Regions from separate parts of the Mus musculus genome. Here region 2 is reported to be linked to region 1. The links are microRNA targets in miRTarBase. Many come from high-throughput screens and were not tested one by one. Region 1 holds a microRNA gene; the other region holds the end of a gene's coding sequence.
The links. The annotated mature microRNA mmu-miR-875-3p reads CCUGAAAAUACUGAGGCUAUG and lies in region 1 at 1,834-1,854, opposite strand. An mRNA with a match to its seed (bases 2 to 7 or 8) in the 3' UTR can be bound and repressed. Matches are read on the target gene's strand: a 7mer-m8 pairs with bases 2 to 8, a 7mer-A1 pairs with bases 2 to 7 and ends in A, and an 8mer does both.

Region 2: miRTarBase lists Gmip as a target of mmu-miR-875-3p. Seed matches in the 3' UTR shown: 7mer-A1 at 3,609-3,615.

Annotation. Positions count from the first base shown.
Region 1 is chr15:35,659,149-35,662,148 of GRCm38, forward strand. Mir875 (microRNA 875) reads right to left here and starts at 1,899; the gene lies at 1,822-1,899. All of the region lies in intron 30 of Vps13b (vacuolar protein sorting 13B), which reads left to right. Mir599 (microRNA 599) reads right to left here and starts at 1,770; the gene lies at 1,683-1,770.
Region 2 is chr8:69,818,216-69,824,287 of GRCm38, forward strand. Gmip (Gem-interacting protein) reads left to right here. Exons shown (of 21, transcript NM_198101.1): 20 at 2,219-2,285; 21 at 2,382-3,655. The coding sequence ends at 2,761. Lpar2 (lysophosphatidic acid receptor 2) reads left to right here and starts at 4,350. Exons shown (of 3, transcript NM_020028.3): 1 at 4,350-4,496; 2 at 5,339-6,072. The coding sequence starts at 5,348.

The DNA of each region.
Region 1 (3,000 bases):
CCTAGAGCTCGTGTCTCTAGCTGCATATGTATCAGAAGATGGCCTAGTTGGCCATCAGTGGAAAGAGAGGCCCATTGGTCGTGCAAACTTTATATGCCTCAGTACAGGGGAATGCCAGGGCCAAGAAGTGGGAGTGGATGGGTGGGGGAGTGAGTGGGGGAGGGTGTGGGGGACTTTTGGGATAGCATTGGAAATGTAAATGAAATGAATACCTAATTTAAAAAAAAGAAAACAGGTTAAATAGACCTTAAAATAATTTTAAACCTTTAAATCTCCATAATACTTGGCATATAATGCTTGTGTACCATGGCTACTGACATGCAAGACACAAAAATGGTAAAATAGTGTTATGTTTTCTTAAATGCCTATTATAAAATAATTGAATGTTATAATTAAATAGTATTCTGTATGTTTGTTTCCTATATGTGTTCATTGATGAAAGGATGGGTACATGATACATCATACATTCCCTGTTTTTAAAATATCTTTTTAGTGAACTTGTAAATGTGAGATGCTGTAAAGGCCACTTATTTACTGTTTTAGCCTGTATTGACTAGTGTCCACTTACAGCCACAGCCTAACATCTTTACCACAGAGAAGCTAATTAGGTGTCAAATTAAGAAGCAAGGACCATACACATATTCACTACATATGCATAGTAAATTACCTGTATATATCACGTATGAACATCTGGTGAGCAGCAGTGAGGTGGCATGCAGACTTAGAAAGTGTCATTCCCCTGCCCCAGCAATGAACAGTTCTCCTCTGCAGGGTCAGTGTGAAGGACAACTTCCTTCCCACGCATGCTTCTCTTTCTTTATTACAGTGTGCACTGTCATTAGTGTCGTAGGTTAAATAGTTTTTTTATGCACTTAGAAAGGCTTATCCTTTGTTTAGAAGCTGTTTATCCCCTTCATTGAAACCATTCCTTAATCTGATGTTTTTGTTCTGTAATTTCTAACCCTGAACTTTGATAAGGTTAAGATACCAGAAAAGTAGTTCATGTTGGCAAAAGTACTAAGGAACACAGCCCTGATTATCAAGGTAGGTAAAAATGGCCATAGAATGTTTTCTTCTTATTTGTCCTTGTTTCATTCTTGAAGTGATAGTTCCCACAGGAGAAATACTAATTGCTTAAACATAGCCACATTAACACTTCCCCCAGACCCCTGCAGCCTTCACTTCTGCCCATAGTAGCCTATATGTCAAAGATTAACACTGTTCTACCCTTTATGACTATTGGTAACTTTCAAGAAAACTAAATGCTAATTTCAGTTTTTAATTTGTGAATGCTCTTTCCTTAACCTGTGTTTGCCACCTATAAATTTTCTTGTCGAGGATTCTGAACCAAAGCAATACAATAATCGAAAAATATAAAAGTCAATAATTTTGAGCAAAGTCAAAGCATAATTTTAACATAAATTCCTCATATTTTATTATCAGGTAATACATATTTATCCTTAGTGCTATTTTCACCCAAATCCCCTAGCATACCAGTAAACCTTAATAACTGTGGTTATAACTTTAGCAGTGCAACCGTTTCTATCCATATTATTTAAGGCTTTAGTCATTTAGTGAAACTGTCGTATATTTATGCCTTTGGCATTTAGAGAGCACAGAGCTCTTCTACAGGAAATAATGCTTTGAATTCTGGGACTGGTTTTCCTTCCATTGAATTGCTTGTCATCCAGGTATGGGTTTGATAAACTGACACAAAGGTGAAAGAAGTTCCTCTCCTATGTCATCTTATCAAATACACTGTGGACAGCACATCTTTGTGGTGAGTACAGCTGCAGTCACTCAAGGAATCCATGAAGCTTATGCTCAGTGAAACATAGCCTCAGTATTTTCAGGTGATTTTAATGAACACCTGATAAAACTGAGGTATAGTACCACAGAACTGGGAATTTCCCCAAACCTAGGAAAAATAAACAAATGCACAGGGTTATAGGATGGAAGCACCCCTTGTTCATCTTAGTGGCAGAAGAGACATTAATGAAAGAGATAATTCTTTAATTTGCTTTCATTCTGGTAAACATTGTCAAGTTACATTATAAACATACTTGAATTTTAAAATAAGAAAAATGGAATAGAATTGATTTTATATATACTTTCCTATTTTGCATAACATTAGATAGTCTGAATTTTTGCTTTTATCTGGATTCATATTTGTTTAATTTCAATTATTTTATTTGAAAATACATCCTCAGAAGTGTAGTATTTTTTAAAAACAAACAAAAAAGCCTAACAGTACACCAGAATCATTTGTATACTGTCCAGGTTCAAGAATTGTCATGTGAGAAAGATATTTTCTGAAATTTATTCTTGCACTAAAAGTATATAATTCAGGCTCAGGTCAAAAGCTGATTCTATTAATCCAAAGTAACATTGTTAAATCTTTTCAATTTTGGATGAATTTACCTGCTATATACAATATGGAAACACAACTTTGGCGATTCCTTCTATTTTTTTTTTTTTTTAAGTCTTTGCAGAGTAAATGGCATCATACAATTCCAGTACCTTCTCAGTGTGGCTGCAGGGCTGTGTGGACACGGGAGGCGTAGTACAGTGGTCCTCGGCAGAGCAGAAGGTGCTCTCCATCCTGCTAAGAACTGCAGCATCCAGGAGCTTTTCTGAACAAGGGACTTCTTTTAAATATGTCTAGTCACCTCAAAAGCTGTGTAGACCATTTCCTGCCAGTAGGATTAGAGGAAGGAAGCACCAGGCCATAGTGTTTGATGTGTGATGTACTGTAATTCTTTTCATGTGTTTGCTGGCTTTTATATGATGATCAGTGTTCTGCTACCAATTGTGACCCTGGTGTGGTCCAGGTTATTAAAGTTCAGACATCTTTAATGTATAGGTTCATTACATATCTAGCCTAGCCGCATTGTTGTAATTAAGGATTGATTTATGTTACTTACCCAACACTCATCTTCATTAAAATATTTATGTTTTATAATTGAGTAATTTTCTTAGTGACTGTGATCTTAGTGGCTA
Region 2 (6,072 bases), not on the chromosome of region 1:
CATGTGCTCAGCTCTATGTTACACCCCCAGCGCTCTCTTTAAGTTTCTTTTGGATTTTTAAGAAACATTCATTTAGAGAGTATGCAGGCACACGCATGTCCCGTTGTGAGTGTGAAGGCCAGATGGCAACCTGTCCTTTTACCCCCTGGATCCTAGGGACCGAATTCAGGTCCTTAGACTTAGTACCTCTAGCCCCTGAGCCAGACTAGATTTCTTTTATTGCATCTTAATTTATTTATTTATTGTGCATGGGAGGGGAGTATCATGTGATGGTCAGAGACAACTTGTGAGAGTAGTTTTCCTTCTGCCCTGTAGGCCCTGGGAATGATTTGCCAAGCTTGGTGGGAGATGCCTTTACCTATCCAGCCTTTTTTTTTTTGTAATGTATATTGGTGTTTTGTCTCATGTATCTCTGAGGGTATCAGATCCCCTGGAACTGGAGTTATAGTTTTTGAGCTGCCATGTGGGAGCTGGGTATCGAACCCGGGTCTTCTGAAAGAGCAGCCAGTGTTCTTAGCCATTGACCATTTCTACAGCCCCAACTTACTGCCTTACTTGACTGTTTATTCTGTTTTGTTTTTGTTTTTTAGTTTTGGTTTTTCGAGACAGGGTTTCTCTGTGTAGCCCTGGCTGTCCTGGAACTCACTCTGTAGACCAGGCTGGCCTCGAACTCAAAAATCTGCCTGCCTCTGCCTCCCGAGTGCTGGGATTAAAGGCCTGCGCCACCACCGCCCAGCTGTTCTGTTGTTTTATCTGACTTTGAGATATGGTCTTTCTCTGTGATCTTCCTGCCTTAGTGCTTTGAATGCTAGGATTGCAGTTAGGTGTGCACCTCCTTTCTGATCGTCTCCCTTTCTCTTCAACATTTCTTTGTTAGGCTACGCATGGTGATGACTTTAATCCCAGCACTTGGGAGACAGAGGCAGGTAGATCTCTGGGAGTGTAAAGCCTGCCTGGTCTACAGAGTGAGTTCCAGGGTGCAGAGAAACCCTGTCTTGAAAAACCAACGAGAGAGAGAGAGAGAGAGAGAGAGAGAGAGAGAGAGAGAGAGAGAGAGAAAGAGAGAGAGCGAGAGATGTATTTTCTTAGTGTGTGGGAATACATGGGTGCTATGACATTATAGAGGTCAGAGGACAGTCTGCTGAGTCTCCTGAGGGCTTCCCATCTTGCCATAGAAGAGCTGACATTATGGGTATTTACCCCCCAAACTCTAGGGCTTTTTAACTTATTTATTTAGTGGGAGGAGGCACACAGGCATAGGTGTGGAGGTCAGAAGACAACTTGCAGGAATCAGTTCTCTCAGTCCCCCGTACAGTCTGGAGATCAAATTGATATTGCCAAGTTCAGTGGCAGTTACTTTTACCCACTTAGCCATTTAAATGAGTTTATAATAAACAGCTGGGCCAGCTCAGCACCCATTGTTAGAAGTATCAAGTACCAGGCCTTGCAGGTACATGAGTGAGCTAGATAGATGTTCAAAGACCCCTCCCTCTTTTGGTGTCTGAATCCAAGAGAAAGAAGACCAAAAATCATCATGAAATTGGGCACATGCAACATTCTGAGGTCCTGTGAAGAAAGGAAGATGGAGTAAGGGCTGCCCATGGTGAGGACCAGAGGGGTTTGCAGCAGAAAATATAATATGGGCAAGTCTTTTGGGACAGGTGAATTTGAGCAAAGAGTGGCATGACATGGGGGCAAAATGAGGCATGGTCAAATCTGGGAAAAGCTGTACCAGGCAGTAGAACAGCCCAGTGCAAAGCCCCTGGGGTGGGAGCCATCTCCAGTCCTATGTTATACTGCCTGGGTAAGAGAAGCAGGAAGGAATCAGAGCCAGTCTGCAAATGAGTCTCTGTGGCAACGTGCTCATCAGTCTATGAGAGGCTCTGGGTTTGCTTCTCAGCACCAGGAAAGAAGGGATGGCTCTGCTAGTCCCCGTGAGCACAAGGGGAGCAGCAAATGACCACTGGCTATATGCAGACAGTGCATTGAGATAGGATCACTCATTGAACTTGAAGCTGAACTGGCATGCCAAAGAGCTCCCAGGACCCCTGTCCCCACCCCACAATACAGAAGTTACAAGCACCCAGCCATGCTTGGCATTTAAACTTGGGTTCTCATGCTTCCACAGTGAATCCTCTTAATTTACCGATCTTTTCTCCAGAAATCCCTAAACAGGGACTTTGCTATTGGGAGTCACGTTCTGGGTTTCTTCCTGCAGCTTGCAACTCTGCAGAGGGACCAGAGGGAGGAGGAGGTGGAAGACACCAGAGATGGGGCAGGGGATGGTGAGTGTCTAGAGAGCCCTCACTTCGCCCCAGGGTTGCTTGGCTGGGAGTACATCCAAAGAACTTGGAGATGCTGAGCACTTAACCGCTCCACAGGGTCCAGCCACTGCCCTGAGGACTTGGCCCTGGGAGCACAATCCCGGGGCCACTTCAGCCGCCAGCCAGTGAAGTATTCCCGGGGAGGTGTGAGGCCAGTTACTCATCAACTCTCCAGCCTGGCTCTGGTGGCCTCCAAGCTGTGTGAGGAGACTCCTGTCACTGTCTCAGCAGTGCACCGAGGTAGTTTGAGGGTACGAGGTTTGGGCCCTGCTGCTGCCTGCCCTGAAGGCAGCCCCCTGCGCCGGAACCCTCTGCCCAAGCACTTTGAGATCACCCAGGAGACAGCCCGACTTCTCTCCAAGCTGAACAGTGATGCTGTGTCCAGGACCACCTGTTGTGCTGACCCAGAGCCTGAGGAGTCTGAAGAGCACCTCTGACCACCTACCATCCTGAGGGACCCAGAACTGAATTGATGGTCCCTGACCCAACCTGGTGACCAAACCAATTCAGTGGGGTGTGGGGAGAGACGGGGTTACCAGTGAGTTCCGGTAATGAAGATTACCTACCTGTGGGAGTCCCAAGACACTTGGTTGAAGTGTCCCATCATCTCCCTGCCAGAGGAGATTTAAACAGCTAGGCAACACAGGTGCAGGTGTTTCGGGGTCAAGACTCAATGGTCAATACAGATCAGTAGATCCTTGGGGACTACCCGAGTCTCTGACCTCTGAGACGGGTGTCTTGACTATTTCAGTCATAATGGCTCCTGGCCCTACTACACTTGCAGCAGTAACAGACTCCCAAGTTAGCAGGTGGCTGCAGCCCAGCCCTGTCTCCTTTTAATTTGTTTGTTTGTTTGTTTGTTTTAAGCTAAGTCTCACTGTGTAGCTCTGGCTGGTCTGGAGCTCCCTTTGTGAGCCACAAATCCTCTGCCTCCCAAGTGCTGGCTAAATCTGTGTTCTTACAACCTCCAAATAAAACCATATCCTGCTGCCGGCAGGAGGGCTGACCGCAGTGGTGCTTGCTGTAAAGCCTCACATTTGTTGGACCTCCCAGAGCCACTTAGTGGAAGGAGAGAGCCCATCCCTACAAATTGTCTGACCTGTGCACATGCACAAATAAAAGAAAATTTTAATTTAAAAAAAAAAATCCGCTGGGCGGTAGTGCCACACACCTCTACTTGATCCTAGCACTCAGGAGATAGAGGCAGGAGGATCTCTGAGTTTTATGCCAGCCAGGTGTACAGAGAAAGTTCCAGGACAGCCAGGGCTACACAGAGAAACCCTGTTTCAGAAAAACAAAATAAAATAAGATAAATCTTGTCTGTTCTTGCACATTTGTCTTTGTGCTGGAATGCTGACAATAAGTCACCAGTAAGAGCAGCGTCTTTAACCCTTTATTAAGGGCCAGATGATGGAACCAAGGCTTCTAAACACACCCTGGGAAACCTACTGGCAATTAGTGTAGGGCCTGGAGCCCAAGATGAGTCACTCAGCTCAGTGTCCCTGATCCGGTTCTACACAATCAAATACAACTCGGTGCAGATAATCGGGACAATGGGGCTGTGTGCTGCGAACCGGGGGAGGTCAGGGGAGGAGGCTGCTGCAGGCTCGAGCCAGCGGCAGGCTGGGGCGAGACTTCGGGAAGCAAGGTAGTGCGGCAGCAGTGGGGCGAGGGTCCAGCCGGGAGATTGACCACGGAACAGTGGGGCGGGGCTTGCAGCTCGGTAAAGGATTGGACAGAAACGGGGGGGGGGGCGCCCGCAGAGCCCCCCCCCCCCCCGCTGTGGATCTTTTCAACTGCCAGGTGACTCAGCCCCAAAGGCGCGAAAGGGCAAGCACGTGAGATGTGCGGGGGGGGGGGGGGGGGGGAGTAGAAAGGGTGCCCCACGTGGGAAAAGGGGGCTGTGGGGAGGCGGTGAAATGACCACAGTTTCAGGAGATCACACTTCCGACGTGGGGGTGGGACTTTCCAGGGGGCGGGACACCCCCAAGGGCCAAGAGCTAAGGCAGGTGGGGGCGTGGCTTTGAGGTCCCGCCTCTCCCGCCTCCTCAGCCGGGGGCTCCAGGAACACCGGACGCTGCTGCGCAACCGCTCGGTTGCCCGGCCATGGGTCTCAGTCCTGCTTCAACCCACCGCGAGCCAGCCCCATCTGCCGCTTGACTGGATGTGCAGGTAAGACCAACACCAACCGGTTTAGGGTGGGTGCAGGCCACCGAAGAAAGCGAGGCGGGGCCCCCTCTTCTCCACAATCCTTCTCCTAGCCCAGGGTTGTCTGCAATACCCTCTTTTGTCCTGGAGGCCTTCTTGGCCCTCAGTCCCACCCAGGAATGGACTGCTTTCAGAGCTCTTGCGCGGAATCCTGCCTGTAACTCAACTTCTGGGCGGTCTCTGTCTACTCTGCTCGCGCTAAGTCCCCTCAGTGCCTTGGCATTGCCCTCCGGGTGTTGACCACGGACCTCGCTCTGGTGTGCACACACCCCCTGGCCTCTGCACTGTGCAAGGACCCTGGCACAAGTTTGATCTTCTTAAGGCTAACCCCAGCAGCTCACTCCGCCTTTGTGCTGCCCCAGCCAACCCACCCACGCCCATTGAAAACCACAGGTGTCCAACCCAGTCACGGATTAGTGGCACGTGGCACTGAATTGCAATGTGGATGCATTTGCTCTGGGTTCTTAAGATTTAAAAAAGAAAAGAAAAGCCGATCAGAAAACCGTTTTAAATTGTTATGCCAGCATTCAGCAGAGGCTAGTGGATCTCTGATTTTGAGGCCAGTGTGGTCTCAAAGCAAGTTCTAGGTCAGTTGGGATGCATCGAGAGACCCTGCTTTATGAGTAAATAAATAGAAATTGCTTTTTAAAGGTCACTTTGGCCTTCAGCACAGACTTCTTGCACAGAGGGCCTCTGATCCTGTAGGTTGCACTCACCCAATCTTGATTCTAGTCTCTGGCCACTGCTTTGTTCAAGTGCCCTTCCATCAGGGGCCACCTGCACTGATCTGTCTTCTGTATCCACAGGCAGCCATCATGGGCCAGTGCTACTACAACGAGACCATCGGCTTTTTCTATAATAACAGCGGCAAGGAGCTCAGCCTTCACTGGCGCCCCAAAGATGTGGTGGTGGTGGCCCTGGGGCTGACAGTCAGTGTGCTGGTATTGCTGACCAATCTGCTGGTTATTGCAGCCATCGCCTCCAACCGACGCTTCCACCAGCCCATATACTACCTGCTTGGCAACTTGGCTGCGGCTGACCTCTTCGCTGGCATGGCCTACCTCTTCCTCATGTTCCATACTGGCCCACGCACTGCCAGGCTCTCCATCAAAGGCTGGTTCCTGCGACAGGGCCTGCTGGACACCAGCCTCACGGCGTCAGTGGCCACACTGCTGGCCATCGCTGTGGAACGGCACCGCAGTGTGATGGCGGTACAGCTACACAGCCGCCTGCCCCGGGGCCGTGTGGTCACACTCATCGTGGGTGTGTGGGCGGCTGCACTGGGTCTGGGGTTGCTACCTGCACACTTCTGGCACTGCCTCTGTGACTTGGACAGTTGCTCACGCATGGTGCCCCTGTTCAGCCGCTCCTACTTGGCTGCGTGGGCCCTATCCAGCCTGCTTGTCTTCCTACTCATGGTAGCTGTCTACACACGAATTTTCTTCTATGTGCGTAGACGGGTGGAACGCATGGCGGAGCACGTCAGCTGCCATCCCCGCTACCGAGAGACCACACTCAGCCTAGTCAAGACGGTTGTCAT